Diceros bicornis minor: one gene and its partner. The protein of the gene in region 2 purifies or fractionates together with the protein of the main gene of each other region. This does not show direct contact. Links are inferred from orthologs where the notes say so. Each region holds a gene or a part of one and is shown on either strand. Other genes may lie near its edges. The genes, in order: PDHX and PDHB.

Region 1 (10,635 bases), on a different chromosome or scaffold from region 2:
AGAAAACGACTATATATGAAAGTACACAAGGAAAGAAGGATATGTTTTCAGTAAGAGAAGGTAGGAAGAATGAAGATGAATTTTTGATAAAGGAAAACAAGAAAGTAATTTTGTCCTAAAACAAAATAATTGTTCTAAAATAAGAAAGAAAAAGATAGGAGAAAACCTAAACAGATATAGAAAGTTGTAGAAGGTTTGTGAAAAAGGAGTCTTTAAAAAGAAATTTTGATGTGTAGCCAAGTTGGCTAAGATTAAAATAAATTTATTTTTAAAAATGAATTTTAATATCAAAACTACACTGGTACAAAATTAGAATTTGGTTTTTCTCTCTATTAAAGGACAAAGCCTTCTCAGATCTCTGATCTGCTCTTAATAAGAAACTAAACAAAGTTTCTTTACCTTTAATGTAATCTGCCTAGGAAACAAAGATTCTGTGTTTTGTCTTTATCAAGTCTTCAATTAGTTAGGGAAGCTGGGTTTTGCTCAGCACTATGTAACTTTCTGTTTGCCTTTAAAATCACTTGGTCACTGTGGTTAAAGAGACAATTAAGTACTATTTCATAAAAATTTGTGATCCTTTTTGATCAAATGTTTTAAAACCTTTTTGATATCTTTTGACAAACTTCCCAAAAATCAAATTCTACATAAAGTCTTTTTTTTTTGTCCTGAGAGATATTAAACTAATTAGGCTTATTCAATATGTTAAACCACATGCAAAGCATTGTCAAATAAGAAATAACATTAAGCCTTCTTTATGTTATGTCTTTATAGGTTATAAGAGTTCCAGAAACGATGTGAAATTCCTGGGAGTCTAATGCGTCCTGACATAAAATGTTGTCTGTCATCAAAACTGAGGCTCACACTAAATATCAGAAAAGCACCTTAGCTGACTGTCATGCAAAGGTAGCAACAACAGAATCTTAAAGGTTATGACACATGTGGATGAAGTCCATTCTGCTTCTCTTGCAAAAAAAAAAAACTGACCTCTCATTGCCATACTTTTGCCATTCTGATGTCCTTGTAACAGGGCAACAGTCTGCTCCTGAATCAGAGAAATTAAGGTGGGTAAACAATGTCTGTAAATTCAACAAACAGCTGGGGCTATGGAAAACCCAAGATGGCCACTTGGTTCTTCCTGCCTCCCTGGGAAACCCCACTTTCTCATTTTTACATTCCGTCCCCGCCACAGTGCATTATGAAAAAGTATTCGGCCCCCAGAGGCCTCAGACCTCCTCCCTCTGGGGCCTTTGAGCACACGCAGCTGGACTGCATTCACATGCTACTTAGTATTGGTTATCATCATGTTCTTGTTATTGTATGTATGTTTTCCGGATGGGTTAAAGCCCTCCCTTGCTACAAAGCTGACGCCCTCATGATGGCACAGAAACTGCTAGAAAATGTATTTCCCACTTGGGAAGGTATAGACTTTCTAGCATCCAGTGATCGAGGCACCCACTTCACTGGGAAAATCATATAAACCTTAAGGAAACCTTTTCAAACTTCTTGGAATTATTACTATTCCTATCACCCTCAATCATCAGGCAAAGTTGAGAAAACTAATGGAAAAACTGGATTCAAGCAGAAAAAACATTAAATTACATGGGACTACGTGAGCTAAGAAAGATGCTCTAATGTTTTGTTTTTCCAGATTTAAAGAAATGTTTTCGGGCCAGCCCCGTGGCTTGGTGGTTAAGTGCGCGTGCTCCGATGCTGGTGGCCCGGGTTCGGATCCCAGGCGTGCACCAAGGCACCACTTCTCCGTCCATCCTGAGGCCGAGTCCCACATACAGCAACTAGAAGGATGTGCAGCTATGACATACAACTATCTACTGGGGATTTGGGGGGAAAAAATAAATAAAATCTAAAAAAAAAAGAAATGTTTTCTTTTAAGCTATCAACAATTTGGTAAGACATACCTTTGTGAACATAGATGAAACATTTACTTTTCCTCCCTACCTGATCCGCCAGAATTCAGAAACTCTGAGAGTAGTTTTATTTCCACTTGTATAAAAAATCAGGCCAAGTTTTTAATATAAACAAATTAGTCTTGCTGTGATTATTTTGGTAAAAAATGAGGATAACTGTAGAGATAAAAATTACGTGTGCACCCTTATAAATATTAGATTCTAGTCCTGTTAATTGTCTTCAGGTTTTGTTATATATCTATAGACTAGACTCCCCTGGCCTAAGGTATTGCCTTTGGCCTCGCCAACTGTTTGAAGTACCCTCTTTGGAAAATACAAACTAATGTTACATGAGACAGTTACCAGCAGATCAGTGTCTACGGGTACATAACTTTCTGCTGATCCCCTGTTGTCTTATGCTAATATGGCCAGCCAGCGTAAGTCTCTACTGTTTTATGCTCAAGCCTATCAGCAACAGATTCCAATTTAAAGGGTCCTGTTGGTCAGAGTGCAGAGCCTGGTGACCGGGGATTCTGGAAGCATCATGAGAGGAAGACAGCCCTCAAGCCCCATTGGAAAGGGCCTTGCCAAGTGCTCCTGACTGCTGACACTGCTGCAGAACTAGAAAGCATTGCATGCTGCATGCCCCTCTTTGGGTACAACTTTGTGTCTGGTTACTACGAGGAAGCATGAGCTTATGAACATCCAGACAGCTGGCACACGAAAGGATAATGCCTTTTACGACACCATAATATTCCATTTCAAGTTCTTGTTAAAGGAAAAAAATCCAACCACAATCTCATAGGTTTAGGCGAGGCTTGGCAACCCCTTTTTACACCTCATCTACTCTCTACTGGTTACCAGTGCTGAAGGGTTTGTCCCTTGGATTGATGTTATCCATAATGACCTGTTGACAAAATTTTATCCCTAACCACAGCTACACTGGCAAATTCTACTGCTCAAGCCTTGGCTCAACAACGATCCCTGGACTCCCTAAGGGGGACTGTATTAACTCCCTAAGGGGGATTATATCAGATAACCCAAGGGCTCTTGATATCCTAACTGCTCAACAAGGGAGTACTTGCGCACTCCTGGGAGAAGAATGTTGCTTCTACGTAAATGAGTCTGTGGGAGTGGAGAAGAATGTTGCTTCTACGTAAATGAGTCTGGTCACATAAACCAAGAGTTAAAGGTCATAAAAGATAATATAAATGTCCTCAGCGATACAGGTCATACTACTGGCTACCTGGACCACTTTAACCTGTTTGGTTGGTTACCCTCTGGCCTCGAGCTCTTTTGAGATCAGGGTTCCAGGCCCTAGTAATGATTATTGTTCTGGTTTGTTCAATTTTTCCTGCTTGAAACTTCTAATGATTTGCATTTCATGATACTGCATATTTGTGTCCACTGCCAGAGTAATGATTGCTCAGCGACTTGAGATGACTGACCAATCCTGCAACTCTGAACAAAGGACTTGACACTTTTTCCAGGTAGAAACTAGACCTAGGACTCAATTCGTGACTGCCTCCTCATTGCTCACATATGGCCAAAGCCCCTGACTGCATTACTCCTACTAATGATCGAGCACCGGCTACCAGGGACATGACTCCCCAGGAATGAGCCTTCCTGGCAACGAGGGAAACATCAATATATCAAAGGGTTGATCCGTGATGCTTTCTGCTACAAGATCTTGACCAAAAGGGGGAAATGTGGATAGCAATAACAAAATGGAATACCACATGTCAAGGCTTCTACAATGGAGCGGGGAGGCCACGAAGGAAATGGGGCTCATGTACGCACACATGTCTACCCAGACCGAAGGTAACTTTTGAACTGTGCTTCATTGCTGTCATCTTGACCTCTCAAGAGCTATGCTTACTCCTACAGATATGAACTTTCTGCCCTAGAGATGACCTTACCAATCACGGATAGCTAAGAAATAGCAGTTGTTGCCGGAACCAATCACAAATTTTGCAAACAACCCGTGTGATTTCTCTCTTTCTGCCTTTATAATCCCCTCCCTCCTTTGTCTTCCTTGGAGCACATTTTGGGTTTTAGCCTGAACCTGTGTCTCCTGAATTGCAATTCTATTGCCCAAATAAATATCTGCCGCTCTTGGAATTGTCATTCCTTCCCAATGTAGTCGGCATTGACAAGTATTTCACAATAAAATCTCCCGCATGTTATTACTTTTTAATTGAGACCTTCAACCCTAAGAACACCAGGAGCAATGAGGGGGCTAATTTTAGGAGGCTTTCCCGGCTCTTTAGCAGGGCTTCTCACGCTGCCTTGTAACTGTTCACTGCTCTAGTTTTCCTCTACACCCCAGGCCACTTGCCTTAATCACTACTGTATCCTTGAGCCCCTAGAAGGGTCCCATAAAACCGTTAGTGTGTATAAGTGAGTGAAAAGTATACACAGCCCGAGGCTGGATTTCCCTTTAACGTCTGCTTAAGGAAGAAGCGCTTCTGCGATCACCCCATAATCAACCTAAACTGAGGCAGGCAGAGAGCAATGCCCAGAGGAAACGTGCGGGTACCGAGGCCCGCGCTTCCGAGTGCCCCTGCGGCCCACCGTCGGGCTGGGCGCCAGGGCAGGGGGCGAGCTCGAGGCCAGGCCCAGCTCCAGCGCACCGGCGCGCTTCACCTCGCCGTGCGGCCCGTCCTCCCGACAAGTCTTTAGGACACGCGGGAGACGCCCAGCGGCCTCCTCGCTCCGCTACTTCACCCCCTCCGGCCTTCGGTGCCCCCGCCCGCCGTCGGAGAGCCGGACCGCCCGGCGCCCTGCCCCACGCCGGCACGCGGAGCGCCCCGCAGCCCCCACCTCCTCGGAGCCCAGGGCACCGGCGGCCCCGCCCTACCTGCGCGCCGCCTCGCCGAGAGCAGCAGTCTCCCTCCGGAGCGCGACAGCCAGACATGGCCGGACCAGTGGACCCCGGCCTCCAGCCCTACCTGAGTCGCTCCCGGCGCTGCAAGCGGGCTCGCGTGCGGCGCCGCAACGCCACCAGGCGGCGCCGGGGGCAGCCCCGGGGGCGGCGCGGACGAGGCGGGAGGCGGGAGGCGGGAGGCGGGAGGCGGGCCCGGGGGCCTCGCAAACCGCAGATCCCGCGGCGCTGCCGCCTGTGGAGGCGGGGGCCACCGCGGCGGGAGGAATCGGCCGGCGCCCAGGGGGCGTGGCCACTGGCCGGGAGGCGGTCCCGGGCGGGCCTGATGACTGGGCCTTCAGGCGGTGCTTCGGGCAGCCCGCGAGAAGGCCGGGAAGATGGCGGCCACCTGGAGGCTGGGCTGTGACCCCCGGGTTCTGCGCTGCGTCTTGGGCTTTAGCGGCCGCCGAGGCACGGGAGTGCTTACGGGGGCTGCCGGGTGGTCTGTCGGCCGCGGAGCTGGTTGGAGATGGCTTCACAGCACGCAGTGGCTGCAGGGTGAGTGGCTGGGGCTTTCTCTGCTCCTCTGTGTAGCTGAGCGGGGGGCCTCGGCAGGGGCTTTTTGATTGAGGGCCTGCGTCTGGGTGTGGAGGTACCGGGACTTCCTGACCCCCGGCCTTTTCTCGGGGACGGCTCCGCTAACTTGGTTTGGTGCATGCCGCGAAGGGCTTTCTTGGGAGCTGGGGGAACTTGACTCTGTCCCTGGTCCCCTGGTTGGGATGGCTTCTCTGTGACCTTGCCTTGGAATTTGGGTTATTTGTGAGGCGCGCAGAGAGGTCCTCAATGCTCTTCTCGCAGGCCCCTTCCCAGTCGCGTCTCAGGTTGCTTTAGGGTTGTCAAGCATTTCGGATAGGGAAAAGCTGCTTCAGGTTGCTGAGATTCAAAAGCCGCTCACTTTTAGCTGTCCTTCTTCATCCTCTTGGGCCATCTCTATTTGAGATTTTCGAGGCCACTCAGGTTGCCCCACGCTGCGACTAGTGGAGGACTTAGTTTGTAAATTTGCCCATGGCATCACAGATATAGGTCTGGGAGAATGTTTTAAGCAAAACATGCATTTGGAATAGTGAAAGTTTGGAAGGGGAATCGTCTCAAGAAATTTATCATAGAAAGTTGACATTTACTAATGATATCGACACAACACAAGGCTTCAAGTATTTAACGGTATGTAGTATATAGTATGCCGGGCATTATTTTTCTTTACATGGGAGTCGGTCGGGGAGCTAGGACCCACAATTTTTGTGTGTTACATATGACCTGCTAATCATCATTCTGGAGCTCTACAGAATGAATTTTAATCTAAAAAATTAGGTGCAGTCGGCATTGTCTACATATTCTAAGCTGCCTGAGGCTCAGGAAAAAAAAAAAGTTGCAGCCACACGGTAGGATGAGTGCACTGAGATTTTTAAAGATTCGGCAATGGGAACAATTTATTTCAGTTTCTTCAGCTTAATGTTTCATAAAATACTCCTTGGAGCAGTGGTTTTTTATCTGTGTAGGGAATTCCCTGTCCTTTCTCCCCCAAGTTTGTTAAATATTGCACTTTCCTACAGTTCTCAGAGATTCTGTCTGGGGTGGAGCTCAGCAATCTGCATTTTACAAACTACCTTAGGTGAGTTTTGATATTTTATGTTGGTGTTTGGTGGGCTACCCTTTGAGACTCACTGTCTTAGAAAATCACGGAATAGTAAAAGCTCAGTGTTGCGAATAATCTAGGAAAAGTGTTCTTAACCTTGATTGTAAAACAGATCCTTTTGAGAATCTTTGAATGCTCTAGAACTTCTCTGGGATTTTCCTTACACGTAATGTAAGGACTTTTGCCTTTAGAAACTCACTTAGGCAATCTTTATCTGATGCATCATGACATTTTACCCACCCCCACACACACCATGAACAACTTTTCTAACTCTGCTCGAACGTCATTTGTAAGGGAGAGGACACTACATCCCAAGGAAGCTGTCATAGTTTCCCAGTGCCTCCCTCTTTCAGTTAGAAGGACCCTTGTGATTACATTGGGCCCACCTGGATAATTCAGGATGCTCGCCCCATCTCAAGATCAGCTGTTTAGTAACCTTAATTCCTTCTTCAGCCTGGATTCCCCTTTGCCGTGTAGCATAACGTATTCACAGCTTCTGGATGTTAGGACTAGATGTCTTAGAAGGGCAGGGGGCATTATTCTGCCTACCACAGAAGCTGACTATGTTGTTGGCTAGCTCTAAGTTATTTGGAAATTTTGGATTTTTTTCCTAATACTGAGTCAAAATTTGCCTGACTTTTCACCGACAGGTTTTTGTTTTGCCATGCCAAATACACATGGCAATCCTTGAACTGTTTGTTTTACAAAGCATAGATTTATACCGTGTTTGTTTGTTTTTCTCTGAGCTTGGTAGAAAGTGTAGTTTCATAAAACTAAGCAATTATTTGGTAATCTACAGACTATATGAATTAAGTACAATTATTGAACTATTTCCTCTTTCACATGTCTATCCAGGATTTAAAAATCTGTCCGTTGGGAGTACACTTGGAGTTTTGGTTTCCTTAGGAGGTGTTTGTTGGCAGCATTTTAATGAGCTATGACATATGCCATGTGCTTAGCGCTTCCTGGAACACCTTACTCCTCACAACAACCTAGTAAAGTTGGCATTATCTGCATTTTACTGTACAAAAGTACTAAGGCCCAGAGAAATTAAGTAGATCTCCCAAAGCCACACAGCATAATATTAATGCAATGAAAAGAAGAAAAAAAAAAAAATATATATATATAATTTGTGTCTATGTTTAACAAGTCCCTAACTTGTTTCATTCTTTCCACTGAAGCGTTTATTGCGAGGGCAGAGACTGTTGTTCACCATTCTACTGATACTGAGTGAAAAAAGGAGCATTCATTGTTAGGCATACGGTGGCCTGCTTGGGAGGTAGTTGACCTACTGAACAGAACATATGCTCTGTATTCTGGCCCAGGACCCATTTAGTCACATTTACCTTCTGGAGCCACAATACTGAATCCTGTATAGGCCTTATCCTTAAGGTATTAATAGTCTGCCTGGGGAGATCAACATTAAGGGCTGATTTCTGTGCTGTGTGCAGTGAGCTCTGTGGGGTAAACTTAGGATGATAAGGGACTACATAAGAAGGCTTCCTAGGGGTGACAGCCCTTCCAGGCTGAAAGAATAGCAGATTTAAAGGCCCAGAGGCCAGATGGGATATTTACATAAGTGACATAGCATTTGTAAACAGTTTATCAGCCTACCCGAGGCAGTTAACTTGGAAGAGTTTCCGTTGCTACTCTCTCAGAGTAAATGGCATGGTTTGGAATTTAATTAATAATAAGATGTTAATTGATAATATGATTTTAAGTTGTCTCTGAGAAATAACATCTTGAATTTAAAATGACATTTAGGTGGAAAAATAGTTGAGGTTCAATCTTTGTAGTGCTTTGCCTGTTATATAACCACAGACCTTGTGCATGTAGATGTTAAATAAACATATCTAGGGAAGCGAAAAATCGAGGAATTTATAAAAGGACACAGAGGTCTATAATCGAGGAATTTATAAAAGGACACAGAGGTCTATAGTAGGATTGCAAGTTGACAGCCAGTGAACTGACTCTACATCATGTTAGAAGAAAATTACATTTATTGACAACATTTAAAACTAGGAACTGCACATAAAAATCTAGATTTTTGTCTTCTCTTGAAAATTTAAAGTTAGGGCCTATATGGTGACAGTTGGTTGAGACTGAGGAATGATTATTATCTTTAGGTAGGAAATTCTTCTAATTTACTACTGTCCCCTCTACTCTCTGTTACCTCTCAGTCAACAAGGCTGAATGTCCCTTGGTATTTGTCATCACCTCTAGTTGTCATTCTTTTCTTATACCCTTGTCTTTATGGAAAGCAGAAAACAAGAGATAGACCAGGAAAAATGGGAGAGAGCAGATATTGTGGGTATGTATGTAAAGGAAGAAAATTCCTGTAGATTTAATATGAAAATAAAGCATGTCTGGATCTAAAGAGAAACTTTAAGATGCTGCTAGCCCACTTCTCTCTCCTCCTATTCCCTGTAGGCATCTACATTTTTGACAGCAGTTCTATAACAAGGAGGCAACTTCTTTGATAGGAGTTGATGGTATGGTATTTCTGCCAAAACGTGGATACCATTTTAGGCCTGGTGCTTATCAAATCCTTCTACACCGATACTGATGAGACTGATCCCGTTCTTTGAATTCTCCGTTAACTTTGGAGACAGGAATACGTAGACCAGCTGAAGCAAAAATAGGAATTATTAGAGGAGTACACCACCACGTAGATGAAGGGCTGGCTACTTGGGCCATGGGGGAACCATGACGATTCCATCCATTTCTTCTAGGGCTCCCATTGTCTGTCTTCTCTCTTTCTCTGATTTGCTTTTCTCCGCAGACTTGCCAGTCTGCCTACTCATGGCTTTTCTCTCTCTGTAATGTCAGCTTGCCTTGCCTTCATGCTGATTCAGGCCCTTATGCTCCATGCTCTTTCAGTTTAGTTCGAGTGTGCACCGTCATTTCTGTGACCTAGTTCCAGGTTCCCTGGATAGGGAAGCTGATGACCCAGTGTGGGTCAGTTGTGGTTTAGGGCACACAGGGCTGATTCCTTCAAAGCCTGCAGTTTGGACGTCTTCTTTGAAAAGGAAGTATCAGTTGGGAATCAGTGATTGGCATGTCTGTTACTACGACAGTCTGATTAAACTAAGACAGTGGTGAAGTGCTTCTTCATTTTAATTGTTTCTAGGATAAGTAATGACTAAGCAAAATGTATGATCACCTAAGCAAAACAGATCTAGGCTCCTCAGTAGTTGAGATGTGTGGCCATGGAAGGAGATAAATGAGATCTTAGTAGAAGCAGCTGCGTGAGAAACTAGTACGATTTGGATTATCAGGAAGTACTTAGTACATATTTGCATTGCTTTAAAACATTTCGTTCTGTGTATGAAAGTGGGACATTCCAAGTAGCCATCACATTTTGAGCACTGAGTATTTGTCAGGCTTCGTTTTGGATTCTTTACTTGCATTACTTCTGATCATCATAAGAAGCCTGCAAGGGTTAGTTGTGTTTTACAGGTGAAGAAATAGAGACTCAGTGAAGATTACTGTGTGGCCAAGGTTAGTGAGTAAGTGGATGACTGCTTTGGAACTATGCACATACTATACTAGTATCCAGAGGAAGAAAAGAGGTCCTTTCTTGTTGGATATTTTAGAATGAATTGACTTGGACTAATCAAGGGGCTTGGTACTATAGACTGAATATTTGTGTGCCCCCCCCCCCAATTCATATGTTGCAACCTAATGCCCACTGTTTTGCTATTAGGAAGTGGGGGCCTTTGGGAGGTGCTTAGGTCATGATGGGAGCCCTCATGAATGGGATTAGTGCCCTTATAAAAGAGACCCTGCAAAGCTCCCTAGCCCCTTCCACCATGGGAGGACACAGCGAGAAGGCATTGTCTATGAACTGGGGAGTGGGCCCTCATCAGCCACCACACCAAACCTGCCAGCATCATGATCTTGGACTTCCTAGCCTCCAGACTGGGAGAAGTCAGTGTTGTTTATAAGCCACCAGTCTCAGGCATTTGTTATAGCAGTCTGAACAGACTGAGACACGAGGTAATGAGGTCACTCACTCAGAGCATGTATTCACAAGAAAGGTATACAGCTAACAAAATTAGGGCTCTGCCAGCAAGAAAGAAGTTGGAGGAGTGGGTTTGGGAATAATGAGTAGCATTTATTGAGACCTTACTGTGTACTATGCACCCTTCTCAGCACTTGACGTGAATTAACTC
Region 2 (10,635 bases):
GTCCCCTATAAAGTGGAGGAAGATGGGCATGGATGTTAGCCCAGGGCCAGTCTTCCTCAGCAAAAAAGAGGAGGACTGGACTGGCAGATGTTAGCTCAGGGCTGATCTTCCTCACCAAAAAAAAAAAAGATCCAGACAGTATTTCTAAAGTTTCCTTCTTGCCTATCCTATCTCTATTTCTTTTGTGTCATATTTTCCCTCTTAAGTAATAAGAGCTAACAATCCTGTCTTGGTCTTTAAGTTAGGTACCAGTTGTACACGTCTGTAACTAACTTAAACCTGCCTTTTCCATCTCAACTTCTGAAGAGGGGAAGAGTATGGCAGAATGTCTGTTTTTTGGCAATGGGAAAAATACCCTAATAATTTTAAAGGGCACCCTGTTAGAATTAGGCATTTGAAGAGTCTGTGGGCAAGTTCCTGTTCTAAGTGTGATGCAGTCTAGGTGATTAATGATTAGTGATTAGTTCCTGATGGCACTTATTTCTTAATGGAATTTTAAGACTCCACCTCACATTTATTACTTCAAGAATATAAAAATACAATTAGTCATGGTTAGGGATTCCTTTATTCCTTATCAAAACAATTTAACAGTAAATGTAGATTATATGCTTTTATTTTTACACATAAGTTGTCTTTTTTGGTATATCTTTCATCAGGACTCTGCCACCTGCACACCTTGTCCTTCTAGTGAGAGGGTCAATTTTACATTAGTCTCATTCAAAGAACATGGCCATTATAACAGACAAAAAAAAGCATGGAGTCTAGGGAAGGAGAGGGGAGAGTTTTTCCACATACAAGCACATTTAAACTTCTTCCCAGTACAAAAACATGTTGCTTTAGAGATAACTTTATGAATCACAAGGTCTTAGAGTACACTCCAGGTGAAGTGTCAGCAAGTATTTTAAATAAATCTCAATGCCTTGGTATTCAAGTCCAAACTAGATATTTAATGTTTTCTTTATTGCAAATATGATGTCTTTAACCTGAGGTACAGAGTTGTCTTCTAGAATCTTTGCATAAGGCATAGGGACATCAGCACCGGTGACACGAACTGCAGGAGCATCCAGAAAATTGAATGCAGGGCCTAGAAGAGAAGGAGGCTGAACTGAGAGAGGCAAGAAAAGCCAGCTGAGCACCACTACCTTGGCACAAAAGGTGTGGGTGCCCAAGGAAGAGGGAAAATCTAAAGGAATGCTAATTATGGGGAACTGTTTCTGGCTTTGCTTTTTTACACATTTACCCAAAGGAAAAATGCCAAAGTTACAAGTTGAAAGTTCAAGTCGTTTGGCCACCCCTAGCTTTTGCTCTCTTTATCCAGTATCCAGGTACACAAAGTTTATTACAGTTTGACTATTCTACAACCCGTTTCTCTGAAATACCTTCCATGATCCTGGCACAGATTTCAGCTCCCACTCCAAACTGTGGCCAGCCTCCTTCCACAGTTACAAGATGATTGGTCTTCATGACGCTGGCTTCTATTGTTTCAATGTCCATTGGTCTGATGGTTCGCATATTTATCACCTAAACAGATAACATAATAATAGAGCCACTACATCACAAATATAGTCTTATCCCAATACCACTTCCTTTTTTGTTTCCAATTAATCTTTGGGTCTAGGAAAATCTAACCTGCCTATTCATGAACAAAATGTAAAAGGGGAAATTGTAATTAAAACAAAATGCTTGATTTCTACCAAAAGTAGCTCTAACTTACTAAATTCACTCATCTTCCCTTGGCTCTAACTTCCTTCTCACCAAAATAATTAATAACTAACATTTGCCTGCTTACTGTGTACCAGATACTACACTAAGTGTAATTCTCACAACCACCCTGATGGGACAGAAAATATATTATCCCCATTTTATGGCTGATGAAACCGAGACTCAGAGTACATAACTTGCCCAAGTGTAACTAGCAAGTGGTAGGTCCTGAATATGAAAAGGTTAGACTCACTGACTTCTCAGTTTCCCCTTCTCCCAACCCCCAGCTCCCAGGTTGGAGCTTAACTTGCAAAAGCACGTACTATTCTAGAAGATCCAGAACCAAGTGGTAAAAAGTTAGGTGTGTGAAAAGCAAATAGGTCCCCAGCTTCAAGCAGAGGCAGAACTGAGGGACAAAGCAAGATTTTACATCTAGTTAACCTGTTACAGAACTCAAACTCTAATTTCTGGGTCTTAAATTTAAAAAGAACCTTTCTGATTCTGTAAGAACAAGTGAATGTCCACTCACCTCACATTCAATTCCCTCTTTAGACAGCACTGTTGCAGCTTCTAAGCAGTGGCCCACAGGTCTTGAATGGGAAACTACAGTTATGTGTGTCCCTGAAACAAAGTGGTCACAGATCAGAGGTCAGGTTGAAACTAAAGGCGCTGTACCACTCTGCAGACAGCTGTGGCTCTTGTTCATTTGTAAAATCTTCAACTCAACTTCATTCCAGTGAGGAGTGTAGCAGCCTTCCTAGAAATGAAACAAAAATCTACCAGACTGATATTTAGAAACGCACAAGTGTATGAGCAATCAGGGCATGACACATCCTTAACTTGAACTCATCCTATAACTTCCTAGTCAAAGCAAAGGGCAATAACCTCTAGATTGAATTTGACCAACATAAACAGAAGGGCTGGATTACAAATAATGTTTAAATGTATACTAAATTCTCTTACCTTGCCTTTCTATTTTGGCTTTTCCAATAGGAACCAGAAAATCTTTTGACTGAGCTTCTGAGGAAAGTTCAAAAGGAACTCCATACATCAATTCATTCTCTAGCATCACCACTGCAAAATATAAACAAAAGTAACTACATGACTAAAAATGTATACACAACATTATTATTCATTTTGTGAAAAGTTTCACTGTGCTGATTAGGAAGCCTTGTATCTATCTATCTTGGCCAGCAGCCTTGAAGATGGTTTAGGTACTGATATTTGTAGTCTGGTCAATCCTAATTTTATCTATTGAGGTTAAACCAGCGTTGTAAGTGTGTAGTAAATGTTTCCTATACCTTACTGGCCCCCTTATAGTCAGAAATAAGAAAAACATTTTTTACTATTTTTATTCTATCTCTACATCATTAACATTTATATGATATGTCTAAGCCTAACTAGAAGACTTTAATGGTTCCTTCCATGCAAAGATTTCACTTTAGTTCTTTTTCTTTTTTAATTCTATTTATTTATTTTTCTTCCCCAAAGCCCCAGTCAATAGTTGTATATCATAGCTGCACATCCTTCTAGTTGCTGTATGTGGGACGCAGCCTCAGCATGGCCGGAGAAATGGTGCGTCTGTGCATGCCCGGGATCCGAATCTGAGCCGCCAGCAGCGGAGCGCGCGCACCCAACTGCTAAGCCACGGGGCCGGCCCTCACTTTAGTTCTTTAATGTTCAAAAGAGACCCAAGGCTTACTCTGCTGACCTGGATTGTTATCCCGAATGGCTGATTTAATAAGTCCTTTTGCATCCTCTGAATTCCAGGGGCTGACCACCTTTAAGCCTGGGCAGTGCCCATACCAGGCAGCAAAGCACTGTGAGTGCTGGGCAGCTACGCCGGCTGAGGCGCCATTGGGCCCCCTGAAGACTATGGGCACAGGCTGAAGGCCCCCTGACATGTAGTAGGTCTTGGCAGCAGAGTTTATAACCTGGTCAATGGCTTGCATAGAAAAATTGAAGGTCATAAATTCACAAATGGGCCGCAATCCAGCCTGTCAAATAAAAAACACAGATGTTAAAAACAGCAATGAAGAGTGGCAAACAACCCCTCCGCTCTTCCAACATTCAAACGTTTTTAAAAGGTCATGTTAAAAGAATTTCTTTGGATCAGATTCATAAAGAGGATTACATACCATAGCTGCCCCTACAGCAATTCCAGCAAAGCCCATCTATAAAGTAAAACACAAACATAAGTGAAAATCCATAGAAATTATAACAGCGTACACTTTAATAGACATGCCCCTCAAAAGTCAGCTTCCTGATGGAAGGCTCACCTCAGATATGGGCGTGTCTATGATCCTCTTATCTCCATATTTCTTCCACAGGCCTCGACTAACCTACAATTAAGCATTGACCCCATTACTTTTAAGTGTATCTGGGGGCAAACGGCCACCTCAGTTTTGTATAGCTTTCCCGTATCTTGGTTACCTTGTATGCCCCATCATACTGGGCAACTTCTTCCCCAAGAAGAAACACCTTCTCATCTCTTTCCAGCTCCTCATCCATACCTTGATTTATAGCCTCACGAACTGTCACCTGTCACAGGTATGGGAAAACAGTCAATAAGCTAAAGGATTATTTAGGATACTATTGAGAGTCTCTCTCTTTATAATCACCTAGGCTGTCCATAGCATACCATATAAAAATTACCACTGGAACAGGTTTCTCTTTAAAAGTTCAAAGAATTCTAAAAGTAACATTTCTATCACACACAGCCAGTCTTTGGTTGGATGTGTTAATGAGAAGTTTACTGAACACTTTTCTTGACGTGCACCTAAGCTTAAAAAATCTGCTTGCTGGCCAGACCAGCTCATAGGCAGTTTCCCAAGTAGAAAGTATAGTGGTTTGTTTTATTTCCACACGTGGTGTACTGTGGGGCAGAGAACTGTCAAGAAAGCATAAATAATACTACATACTGACAACTCACTAGGTGCCAGGCACTGCCAAACACTTTGCCTTCAGGATCTAGGAGTTATTTTACTATACAGGTTGGTAGAATTCTCCAATAAAAAATAAAAGGAGGGGGGAATTCCTCAAAACGTAGAACACAGAATTACAATATGATCTGACAATTCCCGTTCTAGATAATATACCCAAGTAGAGACTCATACTTGCACACCAACGTTCACAGCAGCATTATTCTCAAATCCAAAAAGTGGAAGCAACCAAATGTCCATCAACAGAGGAATGGATAAATAAAATGTGGTATACGCATACAATGGACTATTATTCAGCCTTAAAAAGGAAGGGACTTCTGACACCTGCTATAACATGAATGAACCTTGAAAACACATAAGTGAAATAAGCCAGGTATAAAAGGACTAATGTATGATTCCACTTACAGGAGGTACCTAGAATAGATAAATTCATAGACACACAAAGTACAACAGAGGTTACCAGCGGCTAAGGGGAAATGGGAGTTATTGTTTAGTGGGCACAGTTTCTGTTTGGGATGATGATAAAGTTCTGGAGATGAATGTGATGATGGTTGCACAACATGGTGAACATACTTAGCGCCGCTCAAGATGCACTTTAAAACGGTAAGTTTTATGTTATGTATATTTTGCCACAATAAAAAATTAATAAAAGGGGGTCAGGGAAGAAGCGTAGTCTCGTTTCCTCAGATCGCCCATCTGATTCCAGTGAGCCTCGCGGGGGTGACATGCTGCTGTGATTGGGGACTGGCCATCACAGAGGCAGCACCAGTCCGACGCGGGACTCGGTAGACGCCCAACGCCCGCGGCCACCCTCTGCCCTCGGTGCCCACCCGCCACAGCGCAGGCGCGACCCCGGCCTCCGCCGCGGGACCAGGGGCCCCTCCACGCCCCGGCTAGCGTCCAGGCCAGTTACCTGTAGCGCCGCCGGCGCCGTCCGGTGAAAGCGTCTCCTCAGGAACCCGGAGACCTGGCGGGGAGAGAGAGAGGACGCTCAGAGGGGACGCAAGGTGGGCAGGGATCGCGCAGGGTCCCGGGGCCCGCGCGCCGCTGCCTACCTGCTCCAGGGGTCTCCGCACCAGCCCAGATACCGCCGCCATCTTGACCGTGTCCTCTAGCGGCCGCCGAATGACAACACAGCGGGGCCGCGGGGGCGCCAGGCCCCGCCTCCCCCGCCGGCACCGGCCAATAGCAGGGCGCGACGCCTGCGTGCCCCGCCCATCCCCTCCCCGGGTGAGGGGCCGAGGGGCGGGGCCGAGGTGGCGCTTGGGCTGGGCCTGCCGCACTTGCTCCGGCGACTTCAGTGAACTTTATTGAGAGTGCGCTGCGGCTGACATGCGGACTGCACGCTGGGGACACGTCCCTGGGTGGTGTGGGATGAAGCGCGGGGACCACAAGTCAGACACTAAGGAGCATAACTCGAGGCTAGAGGGCCAGCCTTCTGCGGGCACTGAAATCCTTTGGGCACCAAGTAGCGCTTGCACACACTCCAGTGGCGCGGCACTTACTGCATTATGAGCGATCCTACTTTTCTCTGGACAGCAATGTCTGTTGGTCCCTTAGAATGCGAACAAGAGCTTTCACTGGCGCATTAAGCGCCTACTGCATGCCAGGTATTGTAGGGAAGTGCTTTATTTACAGCTCATTTAATTCTTAGAGGAACCCTCTCAGGTAATTTTGTTATTATTATCTCCATTTCGCAGATGGGTAAACTGAAGCAGATTGGTTAAATGAGCCGGGATTTTAATTTAGGACTGTCTGACTTTTCCCATTGCTTTCTGAGGCAGAAGTTGGGGTCCCGCCTGGGAGGAGGTTACAACAACTTGCATTTAGAGAGGACCGTATGAAGCCAAATACTTGACTAGGGGCAGCATCTGGAAGCTTCCTCTCATTGGTCTCCGTTCGACCCTTGGGGGTCAGGCGGGACCACTGGGGACTCCCTCAGTCCTCACTTATCTCCAAGACATTCCAGACAAAAACCTTCTGTGGGCTGCATGCTGCTGGTCTGCAACCTCAGAGTCTGGGTTGTATCTAAGGGCTCCAGGTGCCACAAGGAAGTGACTAGATCTGCTTGGTGAGGGAGAATGAGGTGGAGGATGAGGGCAAAAGCAGGGACACCCCAGGGAGTGTTAGGCAGAGAGAGAGCTGGACTAGGGGGCCGTTTCAGGGTGAAGAGGAAGGGACAGATTTGAGATCTATTTGGGACTAGAATCAGTAGGATTGCTGTGAGGGAAGGGAAGAGTTGGGGAAGATTTCGGGTTTTTTGTTGTTGTTGGGTGGATGGGGGAGGGGTGGAGCCTGGGACCAGGTGGGAGGTTAAGAGTCTATTCTGAACAAGCTGAGTTTAGATGACTGGGCCATACCCAGGTTGGATAGAGGAGTCTGGAGCTTGAGGCTAGGTAGGGCTAGAAATATAAATTTGGGGACAGCTGCATAGAGATGGCCTTTAATCTCTGGGCCTCTGCTTCATCATCTGTAAAATGGAGAGATAGTCTCTAAGGTATGGAGTCAAGACCTTCCGTGTCTCCCTCACCTGGTGCCACCATCTAGTCCCTTCAGTCCTTGGCAGGAAACCTCAGCACTTCCCCACAGCCCCAGCATCCCTGAGAAACCCCTGAATTTGAGATGTCAGCCGTCAGGGAATCCTGGTGAAAAATAAATGAAAATCAATAGGACATATTGGAGTATATGAAGAAGCCATTTGATTTAAAACTAATTTGACTTGACTTTGTTTTTCCAAAGTGCCTGATGTGGCCTGTTGAGCATGCATTGTACATCTGCTTTAAATATTTATAATTTCCCAAAGATAAGAATGATGCCATTAAAGATAGGGATGTAGCTTCGCCCCACATTGGCATTTCCTTAAGGATAAGCATCTCTTCCTAGAAACTAAGGATTAATTACCAATCTGTTATGCTCACCTCGTGACCATTGACCTGCTGACCACTGACCTGCTGTGCCAGCTAAGCATCTTGTGACAGTAGTAAAAGAGATATTCCTATCATATGTGATGTATGCTGTTTGTTCCAAGGCAGTATATAACCACTCTGTACACTCCATTTCTTAGGTTTGCTTCCTTCCTTGGGGAAGGAAGCTCCCTGGGTTATAGTTCTCAGACCAGGCTGGTAATAAATTCACCCCCAATTTTGATTTATAGATTGATTATGGATTATTTGTGTGGACACTGGATTCTGCTTAGAATGAAAATGTGAGTCAGCTCTCCCACCACCCAGCACTGCAAGACTTCGGGATTAAAATTACAAAGCAAAAGGAGATCTCGAAGTGAAGGAAGAATGACCCAAAGAGAAGCCAGAATCTGGACTGTTTTGTCTAGACAAAGGAGAGTGTTCTGGGGCCATATTTATACAGAGATCCAAAATCGCCAGGAACACTCAGTCTGTGCAGCTAGTCTGGCCAGCTCAGTCAGGAAGACAGTGCAACTCCACAGGACTCAGCTGGCCTCAGCTGAAAATCTTCTTTTGAAATGATGGCTGTGGGCATTTCAAATACATTAGGTATATTCATTGGTACATGGGCTTTCCTTTCAAACTCTATAAATGGCCAGTTTGGAAAAGCTAGGCACGAATTTCCCTTAAGTGTAGAAGACACAAAAGATAAAAGTGTGAATTTTAAATCCATAATCATTTCAAAAAGTCTACATTCATATGCTCACTAGAGTTTACAGAAAGGGATTGGAAAGTATATATTGGCCAATCAGGCCATTTCTCTCTTGGAATGAAATCTTTCCAAAGTTATAGGAACATTTGTCCTCAAGTCACTTTGGTTTGTCAGTTGTCAGAAAGTCCTTTGTCCAGTTTTCGATATCTATGGACATGACCAACTTTTTTTGTCATTGCAAACAAGGTTTATTAAAGGGGGCTTTTCACTCCTTCTACCTTCTTAGGTGTAACTTAAATACAGTAAAATGCACATTTCCGTCACCCCAGAAAGTTCCCTCATGTCTCCTCCCGATCATTCCCCACACATCACCCCACAGGCAATCACAGATCTGATTTCCATCATCGTATTTTCCTTTGCCTGTTTTAGAACTTGAAATAAATGGAGTTGGACGGTGTATACCCTTTTGTATCTGGCTGCGTTAGCTCAGCAAAATGTGTTTGAGATTCCTCCTTGTTTTTTTTTTTATAATTTTATTTATTTATTTTTTCCCCCAAAGCCCCAGTAGATAGTTGTATGTCATAGTTGCACATCCTTCTAGTTGCTGCATGTGGGACGCGGCCTCAGCATGGCCGGAGAAGCGGTGCGTTGGTGCGCGCCCGGGATCTGAACCCCGGCCACCAGCAGCGGAGCACGCGCACTTAACCGCTAAGCCACGGGGCCCGCCCCTCGTTGTTGTTAAGTATCAATAGTTTACTCCTATTTTTTTCTTCTGATTTTTTCTTTTGTAAGACTTTAAAACTCACGAGAAGTTGCAAAAATAGTACAAAGAATTTCCATGCACCCTTCACCCAGATTTGCCAAATGATAATATCTTTTATAACCATACACATTGTCAAAACCCAGAAACTGACACTGGTACAATACTATTAACTTGGATAGAGACTTTATTCAGCTTTCACCAGTTTTTATATGCATTCTTTTGTGTGTGTATGTGTATAGTACTATAGAATTTTATCACGTGTACAGATTCATGTAACCACTACCACAATCAGAATACAAAATTTTTCCATCACCAGAAAGAACTCCTCGTGTTTCCTCAAAGTCACACCCTCCCCCACCCCTAACTCCTGGCAATCACTGATCTGTTCTCAATCACTATAATTTGTTATTTCAAGAGTGTTTTATACATGGAATCATACAATATGTAACTCGTTGAGATTAGCTATTGTCACTCAGCCTAATGCCCTTGATCCATTCAAGTGTTTGCGTGTATCAACATTTCTTTCTTTTTTATGGCTTACTAGTTGAATGGCTATATCACTTTACTCATTCATTCATTGAAGGACATTTGGGTTGTATCTAGTTTTAAGCTATTAATAAAGCTGCCATGAACATTGGTTTGCGGGGTTTTGTGTGAGCATAAGTTTAACATTTCTTCAGGTAAATACCCAGCAGTACAACTGTATGTTAGGTGTGTGTTTAACCTTTAAGAAATTGCCAAGCTGTTTTTCCAGGGTGGCTCTACCATTTTATGTTACCTCCACAAATGTATCAGATATCCAGTTGCTCTGGATCCTTGCCAGAACCTGATATTATCAATATTTTTCATTTTAGCCATTCTAATAGATGTGTGGTAGTATCCCTCATGACTTTAATTTATATTTCCCTAATGTTTAAGGATATTGAACATCTTTTCATGTGTTTACTTGCCATCCATCTTTGGTGAAGTGTCTGTTCAAGTCTTTTGCTCATATACTAATTAGATTGTTTTTTATTGTGGTAAAATATGCAAACATAAAATTTACCGTTTTAACCATTTTTAAGTGTACAGTTCAGTGGCATTAGATACATTCACACTGTTGTTCAACCACCACCACCATCCATCTCCAGAACTTTTTTCATTTTCCCAAAAGGAAACTCTATATCCCACTTCTGAGTAAAATATCTTTTAGAATTTTTGCATATTTCTTTCCCATATATCCATATGCACTTATGTTTTCTATTTCATTTTTAATTTAAAAAATGTTTTCAAATAGGAAATTTATCCTGTTGTGGGAAAAAAATTCAAGTAGTACAGAAAGAAATAAAGTAATCGCCCTTCCTGCCCCTGAACCTTACTTCCTCCCCTCCCCCTGCCACAGCAGCGGCTATGACTCAGTCCTGTGTATTTAGAGGAGGGCTCTCTGTGTATGTGTATATATATGTGTATAAGTGTATATGTCTGTTATCTCCCTTTCTTTCTTCCTTTTTTTTGCTGGGAAAGATTCACCCTGAGCTAACATCTGTTGCCAATCTTCCTCTCTTTTCTTTCTTTTTTCCTCCCCAAAGCTCCAGTACATAGTTGTATATTCTAGTTGTAGGTCCTCCTAGGTCT

Evidence for each region.
Region 1: the proteins of PDHB (region 2) and PDHX purify together in Homo sapiens (affinity purification with mass spectrometry; 4 studies listed by BioGRID and IntAct, counting the BioPlex papers as one, with this or other methods). This does not show direct contact. The link is inferred for Diceros bicornis minor from reciprocal best matches to the Homo sapiens genes PDHB and PDHX.

Annotation. Positions count from the first base shown.
Region 1 is NC_080770.1:33,542,573-33,553,207, reverse strand, and holds the start of PDHX (pyruvate dehydrogenase protein X component, mitochondrial), read left to right. Parts: upstream 1-5,150; 5' UTR 5,151-5,165; coding exon 5,166-5,325; intron 5,326-10,635. Other genes in the region: APIP (methylthioribulose-1-phosphate dehydratase), read right to left, coding at 4,765-4,821.
Region 2 is NC_080741.1:58,306,995-58,317,629, forward strand, and holds PDHB (pyruvate dehydrogenase E1 component subunit beta, mitochondrial), read right to left. Parts: upstream 5,770-10,635; 5' UTR 5,741-5,769; coding exon 5,699-5,740; intron 5,611-5,698; coding exon 5,557-5,610; intron 4,243-5,556; coding exon 4,135-4,242; intron 4,044-4,134; coding exon 3,981-4,043; intron 3,876-3,980; coding exon 3,840-3,875; intron 3,699-3,839; coding exon 3,413-3,698; intron 2,776-3,412; coding exon 2,665-2,775; intron 2,323-2,664; coding exon 2,231-2,322; intron 1,522-2,230; coding exon 1,380-1,521; intron 1,085-1,379; coding exon 939-1,084; 3' UTR 547-938; downstream 1-546. UniProt on the Homo sapiens protein: The pyruvate dehydrogenase complex catalyzes the overall conversion of pyruvate to acetyl-CoA and CO(2), and thereby links the glycolytic pathway to the tricarboxylic cycle.